Notamacropus eugenii: one gene and its partners. The protein of the gene in region 2 interacts with the protein of the main gene of each other region in a biochemical or structural test. Links are inferred from orthologs where the notes say so. Each region holds a gene or a part of one and is shown on either strand. Other genes may lie near its edges. The genes, in order: EIF2A, EIF2AK2, TARBP2 and PRKRA.

The links.
Region 1: of the proteins of EIF2AK2 (region 2) and EIF2A, one has a biochemical effect on the other in vitro, tested with the Homo sapiens proteins (4 studies listed by BioGRID, with this or other methods). The link is inferred for Notamacropus eugenii from reciprocal best matches to the Homo sapiens genes EIF2AK2 and EIF2A.
Region 3: the proteins of EIF2AK2 (region 2) and TARBP2 form a complex in vitro, tested with the Homo sapiens proteins (2 studies listed by BioGRID, with this or other methods). The link is inferred for Notamacropus eugenii from reciprocal best matches to the Homo sapiens genes EIF2AK2 and TARBP2.
Region 4: the proteins of EIF2AK2 (region 2) and PRKRA form a complex in vitro, tested with the Homo sapiens proteins (3 studies listed by BioGRID and IntAct, with this or other methods). The link is inferred for Notamacropus eugenii from reciprocal best matches to the Homo sapiens genes EIF2AK2 and PRKRA.

What each region holds. Positions count from the first base shown.
Region 1 is NC_092877.1:339,451,391-339,458,717, reverse strand, and holds the start of EIF2A (eukaryotic translation initiation factor 2A), read right to left. Parts: upstream 3,013-7,327; 5' UTR 2,744-3,012; coding exon 2,677-2,743; exon of another isoform or gene 2,667-2,676; intron 1-2,666. Other genes in the region: SERP1 (stress-associated endoplasmic reticulum protein 1), read left to right, coding at 4,202-4,285, 4,380-4,455, 5,157-5,197. UniProt on the Homo sapiens protein: Functions in the early steps of protein synthesis of a small number of specific mRNAs. Acts by directing the binding of methionyl-tRNAi to 40S ribosomal subunits.
Region 2 is NC_092872.1:541,934,139-541,941,947, reverse strand, and holds the start of EIF2AK2 (interferon-induced, double-stranded RNA-activated protein kinase), read left to right. Parts: upstream 1-4,804; 5' UTR 4,805-5,000; exon of another isoform or gene 5,001-5,320; intron 5,321-7,809.
Region 3 is NC_092874.1:226,512,931-226,520,745, forward strand, and holds the start of TARBP2 (RISC-loading complex subunit TARBP2), read left to right. Parts: upstream 1-4,801; 5' UTR 4,802-4,861; coding exon 4,862-4,998; intron 4,999-5,662; coding exon 5,663-5,862; intron 5,863-6,369; coding exon 6,370-6,472; intron 6,473-7,815. UniProt on the Homo sapiens protein: Required for formation of the RNA induced silencing complex (RISC). Component of the RISC loading complex (RLC), also known as the micro-RNA (miRNA) loading complex (miRLC), which is composed of DICER1, AGO2 and TARBP2.
Region 4 is NC_092876.1:241,651,480-241,659,039, reverse strand, and holds the start of PRKRA (interferon-inducible double-stranded RNA-dependent protein kinase activator A), read left to right. Parts: upstream 1-4,543; 5' UTR 4,544-4,592; coding exon 4,593-4,657; intron 4,658-4,682; exon of another isoform or gene 4,683-4,777; intron 4,778-4,787; exon of another isoform or gene 4,788-5,051; intron 5,052-5,325; coding exon 5,326-5,495; intron 5,496-7,560. Other genes in the region: PJVK (pejvakin), read right to left, coding at 1-59, 1,415-1,474, 2,096-2,306. UniProt on the Homo sapiens protein: Activates EIF2AK2/PKR in the absence of double-stranded RNA (dsRNA), leading to phosphorylation of EIF2S1/EFI2-alpha and inhibition of translation and induction of apoptosis.

The DNA of each region.
Region 1 (7,327 bases), on a different chromosome or scaffold from region 2:
GACTTGGAAAGGAAAAACTTTGGGAAGTCAACTTTGTTCCCTCAAATAACAGATATTAAGCACCTCACTCAATTACATGAGACATATGAATGATAGTACATCTTGATAAGACTGCCATCCTTACATCCACTGACCTAGTCTAACCTGCACAACAACACTGTCGCCTTTTTGTTCCTACTAACCTACTTTAGGTTCCCATTACGTATCAACTTAAACTAATGAAACTAGCTCCTAATAAGTCCCCCAGTCTCTGATTCCAAGCCAAACCCAACAATATGGTTCTGTATATTACCCTATCCCCAAAACTCCACTGGCTCCCCATCAACTGTAGAATAACTTCCATTTCCTCCCGCTCCAGGATACTTCAACCTTATAGTCCACTATTCTTTCAAGTCCGCTAAATTAGATGACGTATTCCTTGGTTTTCCTGCTCTTGCTGTTTTCTTTACTTCTTTACTTGCTTTCCTTCTCCATCTATCAAAATCTTGCCAAGTATCTTTCAATTTAAAGGTCAAACGTAAACACCTACCTCTTGATAATACCTCACATTGGCTCTGTTGAGCATTTATCAAGTGCACATATGTGAACTGAGATAGGGAATGGATCAGTGATCTCACTTGTATAGAGGGAAAAAACTATCATTTCTGGGTGAGAAACTAACTAAAGTGAAAATATGTAGATATGTATGTGGATATGCTCCCCTCTGATGAAGACAACATTCACTGGGAATAAATCTTATTCTCTCCTTTATAGAGTAAGAGAGTAAGGCAAGTGACCTGCAGAGCTGGAACAAGAATGGGGTCATCCAATTGTCAGGCCAGTGCCCGTCTTAGTAGGTCTTGTGCATGAAGCTGTCCCTCAGCCTTCCCACCAGCCAGTGCTTCCATAGCACTCTGCACACACATACACCATTTCACACAATCTCTTGTATTTTTCCTAACAGACCTGTTACTGCATAAATGTTCTCATCTTTTATCTCTCTTATTGCTGACATTTATATAGCTGCTTGAAGGTTTGCAAAACATGTGACAAACTTTATTTTGTTTGTTCCTTACAACAACCCTCTGAACATATATTACTGTCATTTTACAGAAGAGAAACTGAGGCACCGAGAGGTTATGACTTCCCTATGGTCACACTAGTGATAAGTGTTTGAAGCAGGATTCAAAATTAGGTGACATGACTCCAAATCCTCTATATCATTCAGAGAACACCTCTGTCAGGGAGAAAAGGTGGAACTATGCTCCCTTTCAGATGGCTGTTGTCTGCTGACTTTTGCTTCTTCATAAATCAATTATCCTGAGCCTGTTCCAAGGGCCTACACTTATTTCCTTCTAAATTTTATTTCTTTGCCTTCTGCAGGCCTCCCCTCTCCAGGTGCTCAGTTAACTACTCACTATCCCTATGCCAAGGAGTGCCCACCCCAGAGTAAAGCTGACAGAGCCTCTCTCAATTTTTTAAAAACCATTTATAAAGAATTCATTTTTAAAAACAAACACCTACTGCCTACTGGGCAACTGGCATAGAAGCAGTGACAGAGCAGATCTTGAGAGCTAGCTTTGAAGCCAGGCTGACCCTAATTGAAGTCCCCCATTGTACCATTCCGTGTGAACCCTGGGCAAGTTCCTCAGCCTCTCGGTGCTCTAGATCAAAGGGGCCCAACTGGAAAGCTGTGGGCACCCCCAACCAGAAGAAATCTAACTTGGAAATGTTTAACAAAATAAATATACAGCTTAACATAATGTAAATCTGTGGTTTTCTAAGTTAACATGTGGTCACAGGGATCTGATCTATTTGAGTTTGCTGCCAATACTCCAGACAACGCTCTACCATATGCTGTGGTGAAAGTGCTCAATTACACTGGCAGAGGAAGTAATGTAATCACGGATTCATCTCCTATCCCTATTTTTCCATGCCAGGCACTGTGGGCAAAACAAAGGGAAATCAGACCAAGTTCTAGTCTCCTGGGACTTGAAATTAAAAAAGGGCAACATCTTGAACACTCTGCTGCCACCCAAAATACTCAACAGAAAAAGAGTTCATGATCTTGAGTCAATATGGTGTAAGCAAAAAAGGAATAGATTGAAAGGCAAAGATTTCATGTTCTCAGCCCATCTCAGCTATCTGAGAGCTGCGTGACTCTGAGAAAATGTGGAAAGCAAAGAACGTGGGCCCTGGGGCTTTTGACCCTCTGTTCTTGTTCTAGGCCATAAACCCTGCCTCTACTCCCACAGGTTCAGTTCTTTCACCCTTTTTCTTTTTTGAACCCCATTAATATTAACTAATGTAGATGTCAATTAATCACTCTAGATTAACAACAACTGCACTTTGAAATCAGAAAACCACTTTACACTGTTTCATTTGATCTCACAACAAACCTTTGAGATCCTGGCTATTCTTACTCTTGTAATGACTAGAAGTGACTGGAATCCAAGTCCAGCACTCAATCAGTGATGCTCCGGGTAAACGACCGCAGGACCCAGGCTGTGTCTTTTCTATCACAACACGCAGAAGAACCAAAGTAGGCATTTAACTGTAACAAGGGCTGACGATTCATTAGCCCTTCTAGGTGGGTGAAGCACTTTACACACGTAATCTCACTGGACCCTAAAGAGATTTCCATTCTTTTCTAAACGAGAGGAAACTAAGAAAGGTGACTACCCTACCCAGGCTTACACGGAGAGTGGGTCTCAAGCAGGACTCGAGAAACCCACGTCTTCCGGACGCTCAATTCAGCACCCATCTGGTGAACGCGCGGTGGAGGGAGAGCTGGCCCAGCCTGGCAGACCTGGGCTCCCGCGGCACCTCCGACGCATCCTGGGCATGTGGCCCTGGACCAGTCACTTGCCCCGGCTCTCGGAGGTCCCAGGTCAGACACCAAACTGGGCCACCGCGGACCGGCCGACACCCTCAGGAAGGTTGCCCTATGATCGTCCCTATGGCCGGGCTTGGGGGTGCCGCCGTCGGCCGTCCTCCCTCCTCCACTGACCGCGGGGCCCACAGAGCTGACCAGTCACCGCGGGGGGAGGGGACGTGAACCTTCTGCTTCCTCAAAGCCTCAGCTAAAATTCCACTTTCTACACAGTCCTGTCTAGTCTTCGGGGTCTTCCCTTCCGTCGGGGACTCCCCCTCTCCCCCACCTCAGGGATAGTGTCTCCCGCTCGCGCACGTAAAGAGTTAATTAGACGCGGCAGTGAGCTGGGGGAGGGGCCTTTCCACGTGCCACCGGCTGTCACCCGGGGTCAAGGACCTCAGAGCAGCTACGTGTACCTGCGGCTGGCCCAGCCCCGCGGGGCGGGGAGGGCGGGGGGAGGGTCCCGGAGCCCCGGCCCCACTCCCCTCCTCTCCCCACCCTCCCTCCGCCCAGCTCCAGCCCTCTCGGAGCTTCCGCGGGTCTCACTTCCGAGTGCCACGCGACACGTGGCGGGGACGACCCCCGAGCCCCGGCGGCGCCGACCGCGCGGGCGGGCGACCCCAGCCCCAAAAAGCCCTCGACCGCTGCTGCGGCGAACGCGGGCCCACGGGCCCCCGAGTCTCCGCGGCCCCCAGGACCCACCTGCCAGCAGCGGGGTGGAGGGCGCCATCTTGTCCCGGAAAGAGATCTCCGTCCGTCCGGTGGGACGGGTCAGAGTTCACGGGGCCAGGGGCCGGCCCCTGAGGGACCTACACGTCCTCGCTGCCGCGGAGGCGACGACGTGGTTCTTCCGGCGCGGCGGGGCGGGCGGGGGGCGGGGCGGCCCCTGATAGGCCGGGGGAGGGGCGCGGGAGGCCCCGCCCCCGAGGGCTTGGCGGCCGCCTGCGCACTTCCGCGAGGCGGGGCCTCCCCAGTGCTGACGTTGGCAGCCGGACGCCGCGGAGCAGCCCGGAGCCGCCTCTACAAATTCGGCCAGTGCCTGCGGTCTTCCCCTTTCTCCTCGGCAGCTTCGGGTCCGGACGAGCCGCCCTCTTCCCTGCAGGCGCGGCCCCGCTGACAGCGCGCGCGCGGCCTGCCCTCCGTGCCCCGGCGCGGCGGCTCTCGCGGTGACAGCCGGAGCGGAGCGCCCCCCGCCCCCTCGGCGCGCACGCGCACAGTCTCGCCAGCGGCCGGCCGGAGCTCGCGCCCGGGGCCCCCAGTCCGGTGAGCGCGGCCCAGCGCGGCGGTAGCGGCGGCGGTAGCGGCGGCGGAGGCGGCCCCGGCGGGCCCCGGGCGCAGCGAGCCAAGATGGTCGCCAAGCAGCGGATCCGTATGGCCAACGAGAAGCACAGCAAGAACATCACCCAGCGCGGCAACGTCGCCAAGACGTCGGTGAGGCGGCCGGCCCGGGCGGGGGGCGGCGGGCGGCGGGCGGGGGGCGGGGCGGGCAGGGGCGCCACTAACGCCGCGCCTTCTCGCCTTGCAGAGGAACGCCCCCGAGGAGAAGGCGTCCGTGGGGCCCTGGTTGTTGGCGCTCTTCATTTTTGTGGTTTGTGGCTCGGGTAAGTGTCGCCCACTCGTGTCCGCGGCCGGGGCGGAGAGGGGCCCGGAGTCCGCCCCTTCCGTCACCTCCAGGCGCTCGGAGGCCCCCCCGCCCCCGGCGCCATGGCCAGTGGTGATGGGAGCCGAGCAGCCTCCGCGGGCGCTGGTGGGTCGGGGCTTTTGGGGGGCCCTGCCTCTGACCGCCCCCCCCCCCCCCCCCGATACGTCCCCGCTGCCCTGCGGCCCCGGGGCTCGGCGCAGGTACCCGCCGGCCTGGCCCTCCTTTGGCACCGGGCAGCAGCCGGCGACGAAGCTGGCGGTGCCAGACTACCACCCGTGTGGTTTGTAAGTGACTTTGGGTGGAAGTGGAGGATCTGGACCTGGGAAGGGCTTTGAGCCATTCCAGACCCGCTGTGGGTCCGTCCCGTCCCCAGCCCGAGGAAAGCCGAGTGACCTGGCCAGGGTGTCGCCCCCTGGTCCTGGGCGTTCTTTGCTCCCTGCCTGCCTTTCCTAGCGTTTAAGGAACCTAAGAAAATCTCACTTTAAAAAAACGTTCACCTAATAGGAGTATGTGATTTGTATTTCCTTTTTATTCTTCTGTGAGAAATGGAACTTGAGGTTTTAACGGTGCTTTGGGAGAAAGTAGATCGCCTCAAATGAACACAAGTTTTTAAGAATTGTCTTCAAGCGTTATTTTAATATTTGCCTCTTCTCCTTGCAGCAATTTTCCAGATTATTCAGAGTATCAGGATGGGCATGTGAAGTGACTGACCTTAAGATGTTTTCATTCTCCTGTGAATTATAACTTGAACTCATTCCTGATGTTTGATACCCTGGTTTAAAAACAGTTCAGTAAAGCATCCTGCCTCAGAATGACTCTTCATGTCATCCTTCATGTGTCATTCCCAGGTTCCTTCACAAGTCATTCCAAGTTTTCTAGTTCATACCACAGTGCCTTGAGAAGCACCACATGTATAAAGCAATAAAATTTGATTGTTGATCTACGATGGTGGACCCGACTTATTCAGTCAAGTATAAATTCTCCTTCTATGTGATTCTGAAAACTGTATGCAGTATAGATACGTAGACTAAATCTGTATAGACAAAAGATCTTTGATTTTTGTTTGCCCTTTAATGTATAAATGCAGTTAGTCTTAATTTAAAATTTGGAAGCTGATTTTTATATAGCAGCTAGGCACTTTATTGCTGTCTTTCATTGAAAGCACATTCATTAGGTAAATTTAGCAGTGCTGTATTATGGTGCTTATAAATGGAACACCTAGATGTAGTTAGCCTAGTTTCCTTCTTCCCCCACTCCCAGCCATTGGCACCTGAAAATGAAAAGGCTTTCACAATATTACTATAGAGGGAGATTCTTAGATCCAGAACGTTTATTTTAATGAGGTTATTACTTTTACACTACCTTGGATTTCACATGATTAAATAAACCTAAGAGGCCATAAAAAACAACCTGATGAAACATTCTGTCACCTCCTTGGTTACTGCAGTTTCTTTGAGGTGATAATGTGGTAGAACCTGTCAGTGATGGCTTATAAGTGTTGTGTAAATGTCACTTGAATTGTTCGTGTCAGATATTAAGGGTATTCACCACAGGTTAGTATTCGCAAGTTAGCCCATACTAGTTAAGCAGTGCACTATGGCATAACTTGGAAAACAGGTATTATGACAATTCCACTACTCATTTATCAGGTTGTGACATGCTGTTGAGTCCAGCTGTGCCTTAGATCTCATAGCATGTTGATAGGACTTTCAATACCAAAAAAGAAAAAAGGCACACCAACTAAATTAAGATCAACTTTAAATCTACTTTTTTTAGACTTAAGATTAGAATTCCCCTGTAAAGATGCACATATGTAAAGTTGTATTGACATGTTGTTGCAAAATACATTGGGCTTAATCTTAATTCACCTTGAAGTTAGGGGTGTGATACTTGATATTTGGTTGCTATCATTTAACCTTTCCTGTTACATTGAGGATGGGAAGAGCTAAATTTTGAGCTTGAGAAACTTGGAAAAAACCCAGCCACTAATGACTTCCTCTCATTGATTGTAGTTATAGGGAACCAGTGAACAAAGCTTGGTTTGCGTATTAATGAAAATGGCATATGTGGTAAATGGGGAAGTGGCTTTTACTGCTTCCTAACCCCTCACTGATGACATCTGGACAAGACTGTAACGAAGAAGAATAATTGACAGGATTCTCTTAACTAACTTCCAGGCTGTTAACCAGAGGCAGTTAAAGTAGCAAAGACACTGGTAGTGAAGGTGTAACAGAGGTAAGTAAACTACTCCTGTCTTTTTAAAAGAACAGGAAAGCTGCTAGTACTGGCATTTGGCCAAGGTAGATAGGATTCTATCTCCTTCATTAGTTGTATTTTTTGCCCCTTCAGTTAGCATAACCAAGTCCCTGTTTGTCATTTGAAGAAAAATGCCTTCGTTAACAGATTCTACTACTATAAAAATGCAAATTTTTGCTCTAAATTTGAAGCAGGTGCCTTAATTTTGTTTTGAGTCAAACCATTCCATTGCAAATTTTTTCTTGCTTTAGTACTGTTGTCTTCAAATAAGTATTTTCTGTTTACAGTGTCTTAGTGACTAAATTGACTGTTAAATTGGTGTACAAATTAGTCATTTCACATCTGTAAAAAAACTCCATTCCCTTTGTATTTACATATGTAATTTACCCACTTTATGCATTTTATATTAAGCAATTTATGCATGTTTGGTTAAATGAAAATCTGTGCTTTTTGATTGGTTTGCCCCCATTAAAAATAAAAATACCCTCAGTATTTGATGCATTTGTAAAGGAAAACAAAACCTCATTTAAATGTCTGATTATTAGATGATAAAATGCTTTGTATTATGCTGTTTA
Region 2 (7,809 bases):
AGGCATAGCAGTGATAACTAAAGCCATGGGAATTATTGATATGACCAAAAGAGAAAAAAGAGCTAGAGACAAAACCTTGAGAGACACAGATATATAGGAGATGGGGGTACAAGTGTGATTCAGCAGAGACTAAGGAGTGGTAAGGAAAGTAAGAGAAAAAGTAGAAGATTGTGTCCCAGAAGTCAAGAGATGAAAATATCCAGAAAGGGAGGGGAATAGCAAATGTTGCAGAAAGATCAAGGATGATGAGGACTGAGAAAAGGCCACTGAAATTTAGCAATAACATGATCATTTGTAACCTTGGAGAGAGAAATATCTGTTGAGTGGTAGGGAGAAGAAGAAGATTTAAAGGGCCTAATTGGAAGTAAGAAATTGGGAGGTAAGGAGTGTAGAAAATTTTCTAGGACTTCAACTATGACAGGGATGATTGCTTGAGGCAAGTGAGATAGGGCCAAGTGAATGTTGTTTAATGAAAGGGGATATCAGCGTCTATTTGAAGACAACAGGGAAAGAGCCAGTGTATGAGGAGTGGTTGAAAATTAGGAAGACTGATGGGATGACCAAAAGGATAAACTCCTGGAAAAGATGGAAGGCAATGGAATCATAGGCATAAATAAAGTAGTTGGCACTGGAAAGAAGAAAGGATACCTTGTCCTACAAGACTATAGCAATAAAGAGGAGGGGAAGGGGTAATATTGAAGTGATCAAAGTATACATTTGGATAAAAAGGAAAGAGATGGAAGGATGGTTTCAATGTTTTCAGTGAAGTATAATGTCAATGTCCTCTACTGAGAAGGAAGAGGAATGTGGTAGGGTAGGTGCCTTGAGGAGAGAAGAGAAAGTTTGAATTATCACTGCTGGGATAATAATGGAGCGGGGAAAGGGGGGGAGACAGAAAGACTTCTCTGCAGTAGTGAGCACCCAGTTGAGATGGGATAACATAAATCTGTAGTGGGACCAATCTGATGATTTAGAGGGGTTTCACGATGTGAAGAAGAAGAGATAAAGATGACTGTAATCTTCTCAGTCAAGTGAAAGGCCCAAAAATCTGCTGAGTGAGAGGTAATGAGGTGGAGTAGGGAGTGGAGTTAGGGGTATGAAGAGAGAAGAGGTTTAAAATAGCTGCTGGAGGAGACAAAGGGAGTAGGAAGTCAAACCGAGATGAAAAACAGGACTGCCATTGATCAGTGAGGACTCAATTGAAATTAAGTAGCACTAATTTGTAGAAAATGCAGTCAGCAAAGTTTTGTGACTTTTGTTTCAGTACTAGTTAGCAACACAGGTTCACAGAAAGCAGATGGCAGGGGTAGGGAGGTACCTAGAGAGGGAACATTGGAAGGATGAGGGTTGGGGGATCAATGGGTACAGGACAGTACATTATTATAATGGCTAACCGCAGGGCCAATATTGTGAAGGGAGGCTGGAAAATAAAGCCAAAACAGGGGTGATAGAATGGGTAAACAGGTAAGAGAGATGAAGTTGAAGAACAGGAAAATCACATTCGGGAGAAGTGATGTCACCACCGCCCTTCTAGTACCTCAAGTTACAGAATAATCCTTGACTCATCATTTTCCCTCACCTCATATCCAATCAGTTCCTAAGTCTTCTTGATTCTTTTTTTTCAGTTTAAAATTTTATTTTCAACATTTATTAAAATTTTTTTTGAGTTCCAGATTTTCTCTTTCCCCTCCACATATGGAGAAGGCAAGTTATATATGTATTATACATGTGAAGTCATGCAAAACATGTTTTCATATCAGCCATATTGTAAACAACAATAACAGGAAGAAATATAGAAATAGTGAAAAAATGTATGCTTAATCTATAATCAGAGTCCAACAGCTCTCTCTCTAGAGGTGGATAACATTTTTCATCATGGATCCTTTGGAATTGTCTTGAATCATTGTCTTGATCAGAAAAGCTGTCTTTCACAGTTGACTATTGTTATAATATTGTTATTACCGTATACAATATTCTCCCTGTTCTGCTCACTTCACTTTGCATTAGTTCACGTAAGTCTTCCCAGGTTTTTCTGAAAGCGTCTTGCTAGTGATTTCTTACAATAGTATCCTATTACAATAGCATTACATTAGTAACAGTATTATAACAGCATACCATCACAGTCATATACCACAACTTGTTTAGCCATTTCCTAATTGGAAAGAATCTGAGTCTTGAATGACTCAATTGCATATGAAGAGGCCAGTGTGACAATGAACTTGACCACAGAACTCTAATATTTTTGTCATCAGTCATTCATCTGTAAAAGACTCAAAGGGAAATATAACTGGGCTGAGAACTGTAATTAAAGGTAAAGTCCCTCACTTAGAGAAGCCACCTCTGGCTCCCGAAAGATTTTCAAATAATGTAGGATGAACTTCCCCCATTTCTTTCCTAGAGTGTTCTGCCAATCCTAGGCTGAGTTATTGTTCTTGCTGAGAAGAGCACTATGCTCTTCAAAGAGCCAGTTCAATTGAGAAGCAGAGCAACTCATCAATCATTAATGTCCTCCAGAGAAACAAAGGGCATAGAGGAACTGCAGTTTAGGAATTGTGGGTTGCTTTGACCATATATGTTCCCAGATGTGTGGCTCTACCATTGTACTTTAGAATCACACCCACTCTTCACCCCAAAATTCTGTGCGTATTTGTGAATGAATGCACCCCACATTTTGGTGGAAATACTTTGTAACCACTATTTTTGATATACCATATAAATGAATGACTTTGCAAAGAACTGAGTCTACTGGCTGATTTTTAAAGGCAAGAACACTGGTGGGGGCTTATGAGGAAGTCCTCCTCTCAACAGAGTTTCCTCTAGAACTCTGAGAGTAGCAGCCTTAGCCTGTCCATACCTATGTGGGTGGGGGAAATGAGTTCAGAGGAGGGTGCTACACATGGAAAAATATATATATTCAATTTCATATTTAAAGCCCATTGTAATCTGGATACGATCCGACTTCTGAGAGTCATTTCACATTATTCCCCTCTACCTATTTTATATTATTGCCAAACTATACTACTCTATATTCCATCTCTTCATTCTATACTTTTCTATTGATTATGCCTCCTTTCTGCCCATCCCCCCACCCAGTGCATCCTCATTTATGTTTTTTAGAATCTTTAGTTTCCTTCAAAGCTCACTTCCTACAAAAGCCTTTTTCTCTTCCTCTAGTTTTTAGTGCTATCTTCTTCCTTAAACCATCTTGTATTTCTGTTTCTGTTTACATATTGTATAGCCTAGTGAAATATAAGCTCCTTGAAGGCAGAGGCTGTTTTTCATCTTTGCCTTTGTATCCACAGAAACCTAAACAGGAGCTCTGAGGGAAATCTTACTAGAAATGCATATCAGTTACTTTGTAAACTGTAGTTGGCTGGTTCCTTGAGAGATTAAATAACTTGTCCAAGGTAAACCAACCAGTATGTTTCATAGACAGGACTTAAACTCACTCCCAGGGCAACTCACTATCTGAGTTTTGATTCTTGAAGGTAGAGCAGTCATATTGAAACATGAGAAATTATATTTACGTATGAAATCTAAGATACAAGCAGTCTCTGGATGGCTTGAGAAGATGCAGAGATGGAGAACATGGGAGTGGAAGCTGAGGAATTGACCTGAGAATGAAGGGCCATCACTGAGAAGAGTAAAGTCATAAAAGACCATTGCAAGTTTAGTGGAAAAGTTTAGAGAAGAAATAACATGTCAGGTGCTGAAGTTACTGAGGAATGCAGATGACAGTCTTGAAGTTTAATAAATGGTGGCTCTAGGATATACTTCAAAGGACAGTTGGTTAACTGATAGAGGGTCAAATAGTAGCAGTTGGAAGAAAGAGCTTTGCCAGCTCCTCCTTCTGGACTTATGGTATATATGGCATATATGTGTGTATATATATAGACACCACAGTATTATGTATATATGTATTACTATATATATAAGAGCACATATGTGTATCTATGTATGTGTGTATGTGTGTGTAAATATGTATATGTATACACTACAGTACATTATATTATGTATATAGTAATACTGTACAGAAACAGTACATATGTATATGTGTATACATATGTGTGCGTGTGTATGTATAACAACTGAGGAAGCACTCATTGGCCCTCTGTCAATAAGAGGAAAGGAGAAAAGCAATGTGACCAGTAGTTAGAGGAGAGTGGTGAGCTACTTTCTGGGGAAAAAAACCAAACCAAGCTATTTTCTGTTTGTATCCAGAGATGGTAGAGGAGAGCTTGAGCAGGAAGGAGAATTTGTTTACAACAGAGGCAGCTCCAGAGAGCAGTTTGAAGAGGAGGCTAGGATCAATAAGGCTCAATAACCTGAGAGAGGTAGTGGAAAAGAGGGGACTTCCTTAGGCCTGGGGTAGCAACTAAAAATTATTTGGTATGCCGTTAAATTATAGGAATTCGCTAGCCTTAGGGCAAACCTGTGAATTCATTCCAACAGTATCTTTTGCTTCTCCAGGGTTTCCGAATGCTGGGTGTTTGAGTGTAAAGGACTAACCCTACAAATTCCTGCCGAATGCTTTGAATAAAGTACGAATGGATAGGCTTTAAGCGGGCTCCACTCTCCCCAAATGAGTTAGAGAACTTCTTGTCTAATTGTGGGCTTGCCCTCCTTAAGCCCCTACCATGTGCCAAGCAGAGGGGCAAACAAGCAAACCCGAAACTCCCTGACGTTAGGGGGTGGGGGAGGGACACCCAGATTGCTCTTCAAAGACCCGTTTGCCAAACTCTTTTCCACCTCTGTGCAATCAGTGGGATCCCTACATTAAATACATTGGCATCCTGTTGCCCTCGGGCCACACTCGGCAGGGCGGCCCCGAGCGCTGAGGAGGCGAGGGTCGCTAACTCTGGTCCCTTCTCCCCAGCAGAGCTAACGGGGGGCCGGGCTGTCCGACGTGGGGCGGAGTCTGGGCGGAAAACGAAACTGAGAAAGCCCTAAATCGAGAGATTTCGAGGAGCAGCCGCTGTGCGCCGGGAGCGGGGCTGGAGGTGAGTTGGCCCGGGGTCCGGGGAGAGGTTCTGGGCTCGAGGGGAGCACTGTCCTTGGGGGATAGTGGTCCGCGGCTCTGTAGCGCGCGTGTGCATGTGTGTGGGGTGCGGGTGAGTCTGACCACTGTGCAGCCAGGAGCTTGGACAAGCCCTCGGACCCTCCGGGGAGGCAGCCCTTGAAGGCCCCGGGTCCCCAGAGGAGGCCCCGGGCTCCCCGAGCAGCCCCGGGGCCAAAGTGCGGGCGTGCCGGGGGATGACGCAGTGACAGGAGCCCCGGATCCATCGCGGTGCTGACCCTCAGCGACTGACGCTGATTTCGGGTAAGCCCCTTTGCTGCTCTGCGCTTCAGTTTTCCCATCTTTAAAATGGGATTTGGACCAGCCAAGGTCAAGTCCCCTTTAGCTCTAGTCGCCAATCAGTGACCCACAGATGCTCAGCCATTTCTGGAAGAAATGAGATTGAGAACGGAAATGAAACTTAGAGGTAAAGTAAAGAGAAGAGCTGTAGAGCTCCGGAAGGGTCGTGGATGGTGATGGCTGGTGAAGAGGGAGCAGAGAGAATCAAAATAGAGGACAGTCCAAAACCCTCGCTTTTTCGTGTTTCATGGGGACAGACAGATGAATGAACACGGACGGGGGCTCAAACCAGGCTTGTCAGAAGGAAGAGGACTAGGGAAGCTAGAGTTATTCATAACCTGGATTATCAGTTAATGACAAATAATTAATGCTCACTTATTAATTGATTCCTGGGCGGCAGGCATTGCACTAAGTACTTGGTATATACAAGGGGAGCAAAAATAGTCCTTGCCCACAAGGAGCTTACATTCTGGCAAGAAACCATCATATAAATTAATAAGTACATTCAACATTTGTCCAAAAAAGATGGAAGTTACTTTAGAGGGGAAGGTTCTGGCAGCCCAGAGTAGATTAATATTGAAATGTGTTTCCTGAAAGTTCAGGAAGATACATTGATTGAGTTATATTCGTACAGAAGGCAGTTGGAGGATTTCTGAACCTGTAAGTACTTTTGCAAGCATTTGATTTCCATCCCCATCCTGCACCAACATCACTATTTTAATTTGTTTAGAAGTATCAGAGAGGCATCTAGGTGGATAGAGGTGCAGAGGATAAAGTCCTGGGCCTAGAGTCAGGAGTACCTGAGTTTAAATCTGACCCTAGATAGTTACTAGCTAGTTGACCCTGGGCAAGTAACTTAATCTTTATCTGCCTCAATTTTCTCATCTGTAAAATAGAGTTAATTATAGTGTCCACCTTACAGGCTTGCTGTGAGGGTAAAATGAGAAAATATTTGTGACAGTGCTTTACAAACCTTAAAATGCCATGTAGGATGCAAGCTATTGCTATTATTAAAAATACATATTTTACCAGACTCCAAGATTTCATGTTCAGATGGAGTCGAATTAAAAAAAAAACTTCCCCAAAACAAAAGCAATCTAATTGCCCAGTTAAGGACCCCTCCTGGACCCTCTAGTTCTCTCTTAGCCTCTTAATCCCACAGAGATAGATGTTTTCATTTCAGTCACTGATCAGCAGGATCCATTTTACTGAGAAAGGATGGCTCTTCTGTACTGGAAGGACTTCTGTATACCTTTCTACCTATCATACCACATCAGTAAGTGTCATTTATGGACACTGTGGTAAATGCACTTTCCAGTAGGAAGATGTAGTGCAAAGATGATTAAACTTGGAGTCTGAAGACTTGACTTCCAGTCCCTGCCCTGCTATTTATTAGCTGTGCAGTTTGGGTAAGGTACTTTGTCTCTATGACTATCTACTAAATGAGAACTACTAAATGTCTCTATCTACTAAATGAGAACTTGAATTAATCCTAGGAGCATAGATCCAGAGCTGGAAGGGACCTTAAAGGCCAACAAATCCTCTGATTTTACAGATGAAGAAACTGAGATAGAGAGGTTAAGTGATTGCCCAAAGTCAATCAGTCAATTAGTACTTGTTAGTCATTAGATACTATGTCAGGAGAATCAAATGAGATGCTATGTGTGGGGTGCTCTACAGCTATAACGTCTGATGTAAATATGAGATGTTATTATTGGCCTGTAAGGTCCAAGGTACGGGTGAATGAATGCTAAGTTAACCAACACCTTGTAAAATTTCTTCCTCACAATAATCCTATGAAGTAGGCGGGGCTCAGGTGACATCATTTTCAGGAATTGAGGAACTAACTGAGACTGAGAGAATGAAGGAGTCTTGCCCGAAGTCTAAGAGCTTCTGACTAAGCTGTGCTAAGTGTAGCAGTTGGTGTAGAGGAAGGAATCCTGGTATGCCCCTCTTAAGGAAAGCCCTTCCAAAGAAGGTTTGATCTTTTTGCTTTTACAAGGCATTAGTGGATTGTTGTTTTCTGAAATCCAAAATGACTTATATGGTTGGAACTGCTCTAGTGTCATATTGTTTTTTGAGAGGATTATTATGATTAATAAAAATGTATAATTAATAATAATAATATATAAAGTCAGAGAGATGTAGTAATCAGGGTGCTATCCTCAGAGTAAGGAAAGCCTGAGTTCAGGACCTGGCTTTGTGATCCTGGTTTTGTGAATGAAATTTAACAAAAAGATAAACCAAGACATGTTTCTTCAAGTAAGATAACAGTTTATTAATAGGGCACTGTACCTGTTAATGAAAGGGTCAATGGCTACCTACCTCAGTTTCTAATTAAAGACCAAGAATTAGAGATGCAGCTTCTTTTTTTTTTTATAAGCATAAAACAAAGAACAGCACAGGTTAGGTAAAGAGATCATAGCATTGGTTATAACATTGGCAGCATCATA
Region 3 (7,815 bases), on a different chromosome or scaffold from region 2:
GACTGTGTCTAAGGGACAGAAGGTAGGATTCAGGACTCATTGGTCTCAGTTTTGGGATCTGGTCTTGCCATTCATACTTGGTACCTCTATTTCCCTTCCACTTAGCACCAAGAAAAATCCTATTTCCTTGGGATCATGGCTGGGAGTCTTACTAAAAGTTCAATGTAGCACAACAACTATAGATGAAGTGATGCTTCCCATACCCAGCAGCCTCAGTTCTTTGAAATCCTCAGAGAAAGAAAAAGGCAGAAAGGAAGGAAGACACAGGAGATGGCACAGAGTAAGGGTAGGGAGGGGAGACAAGAGAAGAATGGAGATCCCCAAAGGAATCTGATGGTTCTTTCTTCTGGATTCAACTCTACTTGAATCGTTATAAGAGCATCTCCCCTCCCCCCTCATCTCCCTAAAGGGCTCATGAAACAGATGGAGGTTGGGTCTTTAGGGATACCCCTGGAATTACAGGGGTAGCAGAGGCTGGACAGTAGATAGAGTGGGGAGGAGCCAAGGTCCTTGCTGGCCACCTGCCTCCCCCAAGATTCTTTCAGGGGTCAGATTTCTTGTCTCCCTGGACTGAAAAAGGAAAGAATAGAATGGGTTTTGAGGACAGCCAGGGCTACTAAGAACCAGAAATCCAAGGTTTGTGGAACAGAAGGAAAAGTCTTATTAAGGAAAGAAACTATCTAGTCCAATCTCATCATTTTACAAATAAGGAAACTGAGGCATGGAGAGATTAAATATGGCTAGTTAGCAACAGACCAGGATGTCCAGGCTCTTAGGTACATCATTCTTTCTGTTATACCATCTTCTGTCTTTCTTCCTTTAATTACAAATCACCAAAGAATGAGCTGCTACCTTAAGGATCTCCAAGCACTTATATAACTTCCTATGCTTTCTTTCCTGCCGGTCACTCCACTCCAGCTCAGACATGCTGGTTGTCTGGCTGTGTGGCGGTGTGTTAGTTGGGGGGACGCATTGGGTAGTTGTGGGAGGGGAGTAGCTGTGGGAGTGGAAGTCTGCCTCTGGTAACCCCAGTTTCCAGGATGGGCTGAGGGACAACAAACACTGTTCTCATCCCCTAAATGAAAAACAGGCTTGGAAGGAAGTAAGCATTTGCTGTGTGTAACAGTAGCATCCAGCATAGTTAGATACTATGCTTAACACTTTACAAAGATTCTCTCATTTGATCCTCATAATCATGGGAGATAAGTGCTATTATTATCCCTACCATACACAGCTATACGGTGCAGTGGATGGAACAGTGGGCCTGAATTGGACCTCAGACACTCACTAACTGTGTGACTCTTGGCAAGTTACTTCACCTCTATTTGCCTCAGTTTTTTCAACTACAAAATGGGGGGGGGGGAGGTGCAGTAATAGTAGCACCTACCTCCCAGAGCTGTTGTGAAGATCAAATAAGAGAATATTTGTAAAGCTCTGGGTACACAGTAGGTGCTATATATATAAATGCTTATTCCTTCTTATTTTAGAGTTGAAGAAACTTCAGCAGCAGCAGAAGTTAAATGACTTGCCTGCGGTCACACAGCTGATAACTATGTGAGGCTGGAGTTGAACTTAAGTTATCCTGACTCTAGGCCCAGGGCTCTATCCATTGGGCCCCTAGGTAGGGCTCTTTACAGGAAACACTGAAAGCAGTTGGGCAGAGGAAGCTAGATTTGGCCTTTTTTCGTACCTCACTAATCCAGCTGTGTCACCAATCTGGCTAAAACCCCATGTGTTCAGAGGCTGAGAAAGGACAGAGTTTAATTCAAAATAAGGGTTGTCAAACCTGGAATCAGGGCAGGTGGCTCTATCTACAGGGATACTGGTAGGATCTGGGAGAAATCCTTCACTGTGGCATCGAGGTAGAGTCAGGAGGACCCCAGTTTGAATCTTGCCTCAGACATCTGGTAGCTCTGGGGCCCTGAGCAAGTCACTTATCTTCTCTCAGCCTCAGTTTCCTTATCTGTAAAATGGGGGATAATAACAGTATGGAGCTCCCAGGGCTGTTGTGAGGAGCCAATAAGATACATGTACAGCACTTTGTAAAGCTTGAAGTGCTATAGAAATGCCAGCTATTATTCCTAGCCTGACAGAAAACTGGGTTGCTGGAGAGAACTCAGCTGGATCTTTCTTCCCACCTAGAAAGATAGGCTTGCAGGGTCAGGGAGAATCCCAGCGTCCCACCTAGAGATTCGGCTGCTCTCATCCCAAGGAGTTGGTGAATCTCTGCTCCCGGGGTGAGGCACCCCCTCCCTTCTTAGGGCCAGCTCCTTCCCGGCCCCTCATGCCCTACTTCCTCCGTTTGGGAGCCTTCCCCCTCCTCTGTGCTCCTGTCTTCATCGAACCCAAGGCCGAGGCCAGGGGAGGGATGAGGCGGAGAATGGATGTCACATTGGGGGGGGATGCAACAGCTGGATGGAGGAGGGCTATCCCGCGGGGAGCCAGGCGCCAGGGGGCCTAAGGTCTGGGCACCCAGGAGCAGGTGCCTTCGGTGCTGCAGGCTCCGGCTCTGCCCTGCCAGGTGCGCCAGGCCTTGCCCTGCCCTTCCCGTCTCCCTCCATCCTCCTCCATCCACACTCGGCTCCTCTGCCGGTCCTACCCCCCCCCCCCCCCCTCCCCCGGCCTCCCGCCCGAATCGTCTCCCCCGGCTCTGCCCCAGCCTCCTCCTCCGATCTCCACCCTCCCGCCCCCACCGCCCTGGGGCTCCCATCCCCACAAGCTCGCGGAGCCCCCCATCCCGCCGCGCCCCGCCCCTCCGGGCCGCAGGACCCCCCCACTCCGCGGCGCCCCCCCGGGCCCGGCTCTCACCTGGGGGGCTCGGCCGCGGCCTCAGCACAAAAGGCGGCGCTGCTGCGGCTCTGCTCCGGATGCTGCTCTCGGCTCCTCGCCTCCACCCCTCCCTCCTCCTCCTCCTCCCTCCGCCCCCGCCCGCTGCCCCTGACCGGAGCCGGGGCGGTGTCACGGGCGATGCTCCGGCCCGCCGCGTCCAGGGCCGCGGCTCCTTCCCCCGACCCCCACCCCCCCCCGCCGGCCCGGCCCCCGCCCCTGGCCCTCCGGGACGGACACGCCCTGAGCGGGGGAGATGCGCCGGGAGCCGCCGGCTTCTTAAAGGAGCCCGCTGCTCCCTCCCCGGCCCAGCTTCTAGCTCATCCCCCCGCTCCTGGAACCGAGACCCCTCCCCGCCCCCTCCCCCAGCTCCCCCCGCAACTCGGGTATTGGTTCCCGCTCTGCCTCTCCCCAGGGCCGCCCCCCGCGCCCCTCAAGTTGCCTCTCCAGTCCTCGGGGTCTCCCATGTCCGCCGTCCTCCCTCCAAGACTCAACATTAGTCACAGAGCACCCCTTTCTTCCCCCCCTCCCCTCAAACTCGCCCCAGCTCTCTCATGTTCCCCCATCACCTGGGTCCAGCCAGGCCTTTTCCTCTGCCTACATCCCAGCCTGACGGGATCCCGCTCAGGACCCCTCGGGGCACATTTTTTCAACTTCTTTCCCCCCACACAGATGAAAATAAAAACGGTCTTCCTTGCTTCCCCTCTGTCCCTTCTTTTCCTCCAAGACCCCCCTCATCCTAGAGCTCAACAAAGGAAGCTTTTGGATTCAATGGGAGCCGCGGCCTGGGCCTCTGGGCGGACTTCCTCCAGACCTCGTTTGGACCCTCGGGCCCCTTCTTTCGCCGGTCGGCCCGAGAGGCTTAAACCCGTACAAAGATGGTTGGCTGGGGTTGGTTAGGAAGAGGAGGGGTCTCCATAGCTCTTCACCCTCACCACCCCACTCCACTTTCCATCCACAGCTCTAACTCCACTACCATGGACAGTCCCCGAGTGAGTTTCCTTCCATCTTTCTCTAATTGGTCTTTTGGCCCAAACGCTTTCCCCTCCCATCGCAATCCTGTACCCCCCAGCATACTGGTTCCCCGGGATGGGTGAGAGGGAATGGCTAGAGGGCAGGACTTCTCCCTTGCCCTGTTGGCACCTCTCTTTCAGGCTTCTGGGGACAAAGGAAACACGAGGAATTTGGGGGTCCTCTGGGAGGGGATGGGGTTACTTGGTGCACAGGAGTTTACCCAGGCAGGGTCAGGTGAATGATGCACCCGGGGGGGGGGGGGAGCGGGGAAGAAAACAAGGACTGGGGCTCAGAACACCGAAGCAAGAATGGGGTGCGGATTCTGTAAACTGGGGGACGCGATGGATTTCCAGGAGCGCTCACTGCCCCCGCTCCCCTCCCGTCTCCAGCAGGAAGCCCTCACTCCCCGGCACACTGCAGGGTTCTGCCGGCTTCTCCAGGCTCCCCTCAGGGGGCGGGTCCCTCAGCCAATCACAGGTTCTCCTGGGAAAGAGTCCATAGCGCCCAATGTTCCGTGGTGCCCCAACCCCGCTCCCCAAGTCTCTGGTCCTCTCGCTTTTCCCTTCGGCTCCGAGCGGGCCAATCGCAGGCAGCTGGCTCGGAGGGAGTTGGCAGGAGGAGCCAATCGACGTGGCTGTACCCGTGGCGCGTGCTGGGCACCACCCCTTCAAGGGGAACTCGCTCAGCGGCCACGAGACTTCTGGATCTTGTAGTTTTCCAGGCTCCGCCCATCATCCTCCAGCACGCATGCTCACAGCATCATCCTCGCACACCGAGGAGGGCAAAACAGTGAGCGAGTTTGGGGGGGGGAGGACGACTCTTCCCAGAAGCCACTGCGACCTGGGTGGGCTAACTCCCCCGGAGAATTGTGGGGCGGGTAGCCTCGCTTCTCATGGAGGCCAATGGAATGGGGAGGATCGAGGACTACAAGTTCCGGCATGCTCCGCGACGCCCCCCCCCCCCCCCCCCCCCCCCGCCCACCTCTTTCCCCCGGCCCCGGCTCCGGCCCCGGCCCCAGCCCATGCTCGTTGGCGGCGGCGGCGGCGGCGGCTCGGGGCGCGCGGAGCCTGCAGTCACGGTGGCGCCCGCAGGGACGGAGGAGGGAATGAGTGAGGAGGAGCAGGGTTCCGGGATCATCACAGCCTACGGACTCCCCAGGTGAGTTGGCCGACTCACACTGACCCCTGCAGGGCGGAGGCCGCAGTGCGGGAGGGAGGCGGAGCGCGTAGACCCAGCATGCACCGGGTCTTGGAAGGCTGGGGCTGGGGGTTGGGGGTGAGGAGGGGTGGTTAGCCCAGCCACGGGACGGGACGGGACGGGACGGCACTGCGGTGGGGGGGGTTATTCCCAGCAGCCACCACGGCACGGGCTTTTCTGTTCCCACCATGCACCACGGTGGTGGCTGCTAAGGACCCACCATGCACTTGGGTGGAGGCTACCCAGCTTTCAGCGTTTACTTGATTTCCCAGAATGCCCCGAGACAGCGGCCCCCTTTGTTCCCCGCATGCCCCAGGGCTGTAGGCCCTGAGTTTCCCATCATGCACTTGGCCGGAGGAGCCAAGGATGCTAGACTCGGGGGCATTGGCCATGAGCCCTCTGTTCCTCACTCCCTAAGGGCGCCCAGGGGGTGGTCGTCAGCATGCCCCTCCCCGCGCCCTCTGGCTCCCCTCCCCGCCTCTGGACAGCTGGTGGAGCTGCTCCTCGCCTCCGCCCCGATACCCCTGGGCCCCTAGCCATCCCGCACCCCGGGTGCCAGCCGGCAGTGCCCGTCAGTGGGGGGTCCGAGAGGGACCACGATGCAGGCCTGTGTACCTCCCCCTAGTATAGAGCAAATGCTGGCGGCCAGTCCCGGCAAGACCCCAATCAGCCTTCTGCAGGAGTATGGCACCAGAATAGGCAAGACTCCCGTGTACGACCTCCTCAAAGCCGAGGGCCAAGCCCACCAGCCCAATTTCACCTTCCGAGTCACCGTCGGTGACACCAGCTGCACTGGTGAGGGGGCGTCGGGTGCCCTGGCCAGGGGTGCGTGTTCTCAGGACCTCCACCGGGCTTCGCCTGGGGGGAGGGGCCTTTACTTTCCTCCCAGGGGCTGGGGGCGGGGTGTCTGAGCCTCAAGTGCTTCTGAAAGTCAGCTGGAACCAAGAGCATGCTTAGGTATGGGGGAGGCGGGAGGAACTTAGGAGCCTCCTCTTGGTCGGGGTGTCATCTGCAGCCCCAGAGGGGCAGAATGCTGTCAGACACAGGGATCACCTGATTTTACTTAAGTATGCTTCTCCAGAATAATGAGAAAGAGTTCTTTTGGTGGGAGGGCACTGGAAAAGGATAGGTTTCTTAAAAACATCGATGAAGTATTTTTAAAGGACTGAGAGTAGATTGTGAGATACTAGAAGAGATTAACAGACACTGCTAGGGAAGTGTCTGTCTGGAATGGCCTGATTCTAGTCCTGCATGGTGGTGGGTGGTGGGGGTAGCAGGAGATGGGGATGAGGGTTCTTCTGGCTCTTGTGTAACCTGCCACCCCTCTCCCAGGTCAGGGCCCCAGCAAGAAAGCTGCCAAACACAAAGCAGCTGAGGTGGCCCTCAAACACTTGAAGGGAGGAAACATGTTGGAGCCGTTTCTGGAGGATGGAAGGTGAGGTGTGTCCAAGTAATTTTTGAGCCCTTGAGAAAACTGCCCTACCCATCTGAGCACCACTTACTACCTGAGTTAGTAATAGGCAGTTTGATCTCTCCCACCATCTACCAACAGCTGAGTCCACTCCCAGGGCATAAAGAGCTGTTTAGTGGCCCCTCGAAGGATCAGTCCTTACGGACCCTGATTTAGGGTTGAAACTTGAGGTCTTAGTCTAATAGGGGATAACCTCCAAGCAAAACTCCTTTTTCCTATTGTTTACATTAGACTGTGAAGGAGTCTTAGTACAGTGGTCATTCACATTGGCTGAGCCGAGCCCCTATTGAGGGGCCCTTGTTTTAGTCATGTCCAACTCTTTATGACCCCATTGGGGGTTTTCTTGGCAGACATACGGGAGTGGTTTGCCATTTCCTTCTCCAGCTCGTTTTACAGAGGAGGAAATGGAGGCAAACAGGGTTGAGTGACTTGGCCAGGGTCACACAGCTAGCCAGTGTCTGAGACAGGATCTGAGTTCAGGAAGATGAGTCTTCCTGACTCCAGGCCTAGTTCTTTGTCCACCACTGCCCAGAGAAGAGGTCCTTAGGGAGGGTAATTGTTTGAGGAGATTGATTCCCACAGGGACCTCTGCCCTGTCCATATTTCCTCTTCTCCTGCCAGTCTAGACACTTCTAAAAATGCTAAATCCTAAATACCTCCAAAATTCTAAATACGTCTTTTGGCTCTTTGAGTAGAAAAACTTCCCCATTCCGCTGAGAGGCCATTGGCTCTGTCTTCTTTTGGGCTTCCTTCTGATGGGTGAGAAGACAGTACAGGATGGGGAGAAACATGTTCCCCAGTCCTTGGGAAGTTGTCTTCTTAGAATGCCCGCTCTCTGCTGATACCCCTGTTGCTGGGCCTGATTCACACCCCACCTCACCTCAGCAGCAAGCAAGGCTTCAAGGAGTGAAGGGAGTTGGGAGTGGTTCACCTTCTGCCTTGGGCAGGTCTTTTCTGAGCCCCAACAGGCTAAGACTGAAACCAAGCCGCCTGTCTATCCTTGTCACATAGTGAAGTCCAGCAATGCTGGGGGATGCCTGAGGGGAGGAGTGGTGGAGCTGATACCAGCAAGTGGAGTTGGGGGCAGGAAGACTGCCATGTGTCCTCAAAGAGATGGGCTGTTTCTGTGCCCTACTCTTTGGGACTAGAGATAGTTGGCTTGACCTGGGACAGATGGTACCTGTGACTTTCTCTCCTCTCTTTGGTCAGAACATGTTCCATATTCTCAAATCTAAAGTCTAGAGTTCTTCAAAATAGCTATTTCGAGGGGAGCAGACAAGTCTTCTATGGTGTGGGAGTCTTTATTT
Region 4 (7,560 bases), on a different chromosome or scaffold from region 2:
TCCATAGAGGGAAACATCTGATTTATCTTCATAATTCAGTAATTGGTAGGATGAGATACCTTTAATAAAAGAACACTGATGTGTTTTAAATGTCTCTTACCTAACTACTATGATTGTTTTAAAAGTATATTAAAAAACCCCAAGGTTATAAATTATAAAAGTAATAGCAAAAATTTAAACCAAGATTTCAAAATATAAATTCTATTTATTAAATGTTAAATAATAAATATTCTTTTCTTTGTACTCAGGAAAATATCCCATGAAAAGAGATTGAAGGAGTGAGACAGTGAGAGTGTTTTATTATAAGTAACAATCTGTTGTTAAAATACCAATTCAAACTCTTCTATGTTCCAACTAGGTCAAGAAAAAAATCTAAAAAACTAAAATAGGCTACATATATATATTATATAAATATATCAATAACTTAACTTACATGACAAAAACAACAATGGTATCACAACAATAAGTAGTGGTAGTAGAAATAGATATGATAATGAATCCATTTCAAAGTGCTTTTGCTTCTACATAAGCAATATATGGCTCAGCATATTAGTGCTTATTTGAATTTAGGATGTTTCAGTTATTTTCAGTCACATCTGACTCTTTGTGACCCTATTTGGAGTTTTCTTGGCAAAGATACTGGAATGGGTTACCATTTCCTTCTCCAGCTCATTTTACAAATGAGGAACTGAGGTAAACAGGGTTAAGTGACTTGCCCAGGGTCCCTTATCTAGTAAGTATCTAAGGCTGGATTTGAACTCAGGTCCTCCAGACTACAGGCCCAGCATCCTATCCACTGTGCCACCTACCTCCCTGGTTAGGATAACCTGTATTCAAATTCTGCCTCTAGATCCTTACTATCTTTAGGTTGTTGTTCAGTTATGTTTGACTTTGGGACTTCCATGGACCACAGCATGCCAATGATGTACATAGGGTTTTCTTGGCGAAGATGCTGGAGTGGTTTTCCATTTTCTTTTTCAGTGGAGAGCAAACAGAGGTTAAATGACTTGCCGCCAGGGTCACATAGCAGGTAAGTATCTGAGGTCATATTTGAACTCTGTTTTTTCTGACTCCAGTACCAGCTCTCTATCCAGTGAACCACCATAGCTGCCTCTGCATGTTTAATATAATAATTATAGTATTTGTATGACACTAAGTAAATCATTGAACCTCTATGTGCCTTAAGCAATTTCTTAGGATTTATTTACAGTATCATAAATGAAAAAGAGTTCCTTATGATAACGAAATCCCTTTCGTCATCTGATTTAGTGCATACCACAAACTTAATCGGATAATGAGATAGGTATCATTCCCACTTTGTAGTTGTTTTAGTATGTGAAGTAGCTAGGTGACATAGTGATAAAGCCCTGGATTTAGGATCGAGACCAGTTTGAATTCTGCCTCAGACACTTACCAGCTGTGGCTAGTAAGGAATGACAAGTCACTTTATCCTTTTTAGTCTCAGTTTCCTTACCTATAAAATAAAAATAATAATAGCACTTACCTCACAGAGCTCTTGGCACCAAAGTCAATAAAATATGTAAAATGTTTTTTGTAAACTCTGAAGCACCAAATAAACTTTAGCTAATATTATTATAAAATGAAATGCAAGTTGATTTGGCAAAACAAGTTATTAAAAATTCAATTCAATACACATTTATTGAGCACTTACAATGAGCCAGGCACTGTGATAAGCAAGGAACTTAATAAAAATGAAAATTGCCTCTGCCCACAAGAAGTTTACTATCTACTCAGTGGACTCCCTCAGTGGAGGGAAAGATGTAAACAGTACAGGTATAAGTAAAAACAAAGCACTCGAGAGTGGTGGGAAAAGAGATGCCAGATTGAGAAGTTCCATGCATTTTAATGGATTTGAAAATGTTTCAAGCTCCTATTGGATTTGACACTATGTAAATTTGAAACATTCTTTCTTTTACTAATATCATTATACCTATTTCAACAAAAAAATTTGATTATCAACAAAAATCATGCTACTCCTGTTACATACTATCAGTATTTAGGTTACTAATATAGTACAAAGACTAGTTAGTTATTGTAAAAACAGGCTTTTCAAAAAAGCTATTGAAAAACTTACCAGCTGAAATTTCTCTGTCTCCTAGGAGAATATCATTCAGTGTGAAAGGTGTTGAGGTAAATTTAGCTCTCTGTAACAAAAAGCATCTTTTCTTTTTAACCACAAGGCTCAAAGGTTGATATTTGTCAGCTTCACTGAGGCTTGGAACCGGAACTAATCTCCCTCCATCTCCAACTTGCTTAACAAAGCTCTTGGTAGCAGCAGCAAACATATTAACATAATATTAATGATAAAATACTTCATCAACTGCAACTTTCAGATATTAAATCCATATTCAAAAGGCTAGTATATTACAGAAAATTACTATGAACAAAATTAAATCAAGGATGAATTTTTAAATGCAGTTATACACTTAATTAGAAAAGTAAAATAACCTGTTTTCACTAACTAGTTTCCAGTGTGCAGAACTCACTGATCCCTTTCAGCTTCATGTACTCAGCATAATGAATTATACATCAAGTGTAAACTGATATGTTAAAGGTAAGACTGAAGCGCCACCACTGCCATTCTATATGACTAAAAAAGCTAACAGAAGAAACTGATATTAAGTGGCAATAATGTCTCTTGTTAGGGCCAGAGGTAAGGAAGTATGATCAGGGTAATGGGTCCGATACAGTATCAGTTCTGAAGGCTACATTGCCAAGACCTGAAGATTAAAATGACAAACATTAGCCCTGCATACAATCTTCAGTGGAACTGAGCCAAAGGAAATTCCCTTACAAGTTAAAGATGCCAGTTTTGGCAGTAAGTTATGCCATTCTGAGCAACAGAAAAGGAATCATCTGGGAGCAATTTAAAGACTTTGATTTTCTTATGTATCTCATCTTACCCTCTTCTACGCAAAAAAACCCCAATAATGTGGGGGACGGAGGGGATGCATATTAAATGAACATTTTTAGCGCACAGCGGGATCCTTTTTATTGCCTTAAGCACAGTCCCAGGATTCATATTCTTGTCTAATCAATTCACCTTGGATTTTTACTCTCTGGATTCTGCTTAAGTAGATAGAATGAAAAGCCCGGTTCTAAAGGGCCTCTGCAGGTTTTCCTTGAAGGGACGGTCGGAGGTGGAGAGGTGAGGCTCAGGAGAGAGCATCGCCCTCCAAGCCCTCCAACCTTTGGGACCAGAAGGGGCATCGTCCCCAGTCGGGACGCAGCCCAGAAGTGGAGGGAGGCCAGAGACGCCAATCGATGAGCATTGTTTGACAACGATGGCTATCTCCTTTGGGGCGGCCCAGGAAGAGTGCCAAAGGTTTTCCAAAACCTTTTATAACTCAGGGCTTACACGCACTCTGCTCAGCCTCAGGTAATAAAAATAAGACGACGACCAGAAGGATTTTTTTTTTTTAAAAAGAGGAAATCCCTTTAATGCCGCGGGTTGGTCGGGAGCCCCGGGAGCCAGGCTCGCGAGCGCAGCCGGACCGAACCTGGATCGAGCAGGGATAGGGATGCCTCCTGCCCAGCCCGGAGGAAGCGGAGGAGGAGGGGAGGGCGACAGTTGACTCGTTAGAAAGGGGAGTGCGCTGCAAGGAGGGACCGGTGCAACCTTCGCACTGGCATCCCCAAAGTCCAGCTCGGCTGCGGGCACCGGCTCTGCCACGACGTCCTGGCGTGCGGCCCGGCAAGCCCCCAGGCCCAGGGCTCCCTGGATTTGGGCCCCCCGGGCTCAGGACGTCGTGTGGGACTCGGGAAAACGCTGGTTATACAGAAAGGGAGGGGAGGTCATGTTTTTAGTGAGAGGGGGATCATTTGTCATTCGGACATGCTTCCGTCACATCTCGGGATGGAAAACGTCCGTGGGGTTTAAGCGAGGAGAGAAGGAAGGGAGTCCCACTGCGTGTCCGCGGGAGGCCCACTCTGGAGGATCTCGGGGAGAAGGGCAGCGGAGCGCTCCCACTATGGCGGCCCTGACGTGCCCTCTCCTCAGGCCGAGGCAGAAATGCCCGGATAGAGAATGAGGACCCTGCCAGCGGCCCCGACCGCGGCTCCGCGGCGGGGGGGCGTTGTGTCAATGACCGCACGCGTGGGGCCCGCGCCCGCAGACTCCCGACGGAAGGTCCGTTTGGGGGCCGAGGTCTGGGGCGGCCGCGGCCCGGCTACTAGGAGCAGGCGCTGGGCGGGGGGCCCGGGCCGCGGCGGCAGCAGGTGCGGGCGCGGCGGGGGGAGCGAGGGGGGCTGCGCCATCGGCTCCTCCTCTTCTCCCCCGCCCCCCGGAACCACAACAGGGACGCGGAGGAGGAGGGGGGAGGAGGAGGAGAAGAGGGACAGGAGGCAGCTGAAGCAGAAGCAGCAGCAGCGGCGGCAGAGGGGGACGGGAAGCGACCACCACGGCGACGGCAACGGCCACAGCGACGGCGGCCCCGGGGGCCAAAGAGGCCCCTCTTGGGGACGGGCCGCCCAAGGGAAGGAGAGCGAACCCCCGGTCCCGAGCCCCCCCCGCCGCCCCCGCGGCGGCCCCAGCCCCGCCGGCAGCCCCCGCCGCCGCCTCCCGGCCGAGCATGCCCCAGGGCGGGCCGCACACCGCGACCTCGCCGCCAGCCCCGCCGGACAGCGGCACCTTCAGGTCAGTCCGCGGGCGGAGCCCGGCCTGAGCTGCCCGGCCCGCGGGACACCAGGTAGGGCCTCGCGGGGAAGGAGGGGAGGGGGCCCGAGAGGACGAGAAAGCCTTCGAGTTGCCTTCTGGGTAAGGGTGCCCCCTCCCTTTCTTTCCCTCTTCCCCCTCCCCCATCCACCTCTTGGAGCCGGGAGAGGCCCCGCCCTCCAGCGTTCTACTCCCTCCCTCCCCCATCTCACCCCCCCCACGTGGGCGGGTCATGCTGGAAGAGCCGCTGCTGCCGCCTCCCAGAAGCCCCAGGCAGCTCGGGTTACCTGAGCCCCGACTGGCTTGAGACAGAGGACGCCCGCGGAGCCTCGGAGCGCCTGCTTCCCTGAGCAGGTGCTGCTGGAGCCAGCGTTCTCCCTCTGACCCTCGCTAACCTCCCCCCTCCTGATCCATGCCCCTGCCAGCCCAGGAACTCGGAGCGTGCCCCCGCGCGCCGGGCCGGCCTCGTTTTTCGGAACTCCAAAGAGGTGCAGCCACCTCGTTTTCTAGTTTTAAGAATGAGAAGTGAATTCCCTTCCATTAGCTTTAGGGCCCCCTCTGCACAACTGAAAATCTTTACTTGGTTGGCCTCTCCCAAGCACGCAGCCCCCCTTTGGCATTTCTAGCAGACGACCTTCTCATTTACGCAGGTTGGGGAAAATGATCACAGCCAAACCTGGGAAAACACCCATTCAGGTGTTACATGAGTACGGCATGAAGACCAATAACGTGCCCGTGTATGAGTTTGAAAGAGCCGATGGACATGCCAGTACGCCAAGTTTCACCTTCAGAGTGACCGTGGGCGATATAACCTGCTCAGGTCTGTATACACTATTAAGAGCATTGTCCTAAAGACAGGCTGTAGCGCCTTCGTTGGGAAGATACCCCAGGAGAATATTGGAACTGGAAAAGTGTCAACTTAGGTCAGAAGAAAGACATTTTAAACTTTATCCTTTTGTCTCATTTTCTCTCTCTCTTTTTCCTCCCCCTCTCCCCCAGGTGCCTTCAGAAGTCCAATTGAAGACATAGTCATGGAGGCCTCCTGCTCCCTAAGATATTTCTAATGGTTCCATTAGGCTACCTCAGAATCAGAACTGGAGAGTCTTTAAAGATGAGCAGGTTCTCCTAAAGTAGCCCTGGGGACTGAGATAGTTGTTAATAATGTGTCCAAGCTCACAGCCCCTACTGGAACCTTGATTTCCCATTTCCCATTCCACTTTGCAACTTGTTAAACTCAAGGGAAAGTGGATATGAATTCTCTTCTCTCCCACAGAACTTTAGAAAGTCCTTCAGCTTTCCTAGGTCAGTGCATATTCTTGTTTATTTACCAAGCTAGAGCTGGCCCAGTGAAACATCTCATTCTGTATCCAAAGAAAAGAAAGGCAATGAACTTAGAGAATTTACATGTGAATTTTCCTGTTTGTTAAGTATGAATACTCTATTCATTCCAGTCGTTAATTTCTTGAACATGAAACACACAGAAAAACACATTGCATTTTATTTGAAAAAATACATGTAAGAAAAATAAATCCAAATGCAATTGGCAAGTTTTATGATCCATTCATCTAAAAATTAAAGAGGTCACAGTTTTTTGTTTTTTTTCTTACTGAGGTGAAGCTGCATTTCATATTCCTGAAATGTATGAACTCTGGTGAAAGGGCATAGGAGCTGAGGTAGAATGTAGATCCCTGATGAGAGCAGAGGAGAATTAATCACTGTTCCCCCAGGTGGGAATTGGGGCAAAAAAAAGAAAGTAGAGTCTTAGAGAGGAGAGCAACTTTTAAGCTTGTGTAGTCTAATCCCTTCATTTTATACTTGAGGCAGCTGAGGCCCAGAGATGTTATGTGACAAGCACAAAGTCAAACATTAGGTAGCAGAGTTAAGATATGAATCCAAGTACTCTGACTGTAAATTCCACACACTTTCCACTGCACCTTGCTGCCTCCCATACAAGGCCAAGACACCAGTTTGTAAATCTACTTAGAGATAAACTAGTAAATCAGGAACTTTGGTCGGGAATCTATATTGAAAGTAATCAGAAGCTTAAAATCATGTTTTTCCCTTCTTTATGAAACATTGATTGTGTGACTAGAGGAGTTAGAGCTTAACCACTATGAGCCTCAGTTTACTAATGTGTAAAATCAAAATGTTTGTACCACCTGTCTTGTTGAGTAAACTTTAGACAGTTTGCTCTGTCAAACACAAAATAAACATAGGAGCTAAATGTGTTCTGTGTTCAAACCAAAAAAATAGCAAGGCTATTTTGGGTAGTCTTTGTTTCTGGGATATTGTTTATATAATACCATAAAGAGTCATCATAGCATAGTAGATGAAGAGTTAGGAAGACCTTGATTCAAGATTTGCCTCTGATACATATTGGCTGTGATACTGGGCAAATTGTTTGATTTCTCCCTGCTCTGGGCACCTCTAATTAGAGTTGCAGATCCATTTTGATGGAGTTTTCTTACTGGAAATTTCCTATACTAATGAAATCATAAGTTTGGAACTATATAAATGTAAGATAGCAAGCTAACTATATATAAGCTCAGTTGGGAAAAAAAAGCAATAGTTCTGTTTTTCTCTCAGTACAATTTATTTATTTTTTATTTTTTTTATTTTTTTTTTATTTTTTAATGTTTAACAATCACTGCCATACATCTCAGTACAATTTAGACCAAGGACCAGAAATCAACAGAGTACCTATAAAAGATAATTTCATCTCTCTGCTGACTGAATCACTCCTTCCTCTCTTCCCCTTTAACACACCCTTGTTTTACTCCCACCTCATTTTATTGGTAAAAATGGAAGCTGTCTTCTTAAAATGCCTTATTTCAGAAACTATTGATTATAAAATCTTAGAAGTTAGAAGGAACTTAGAGATTCAG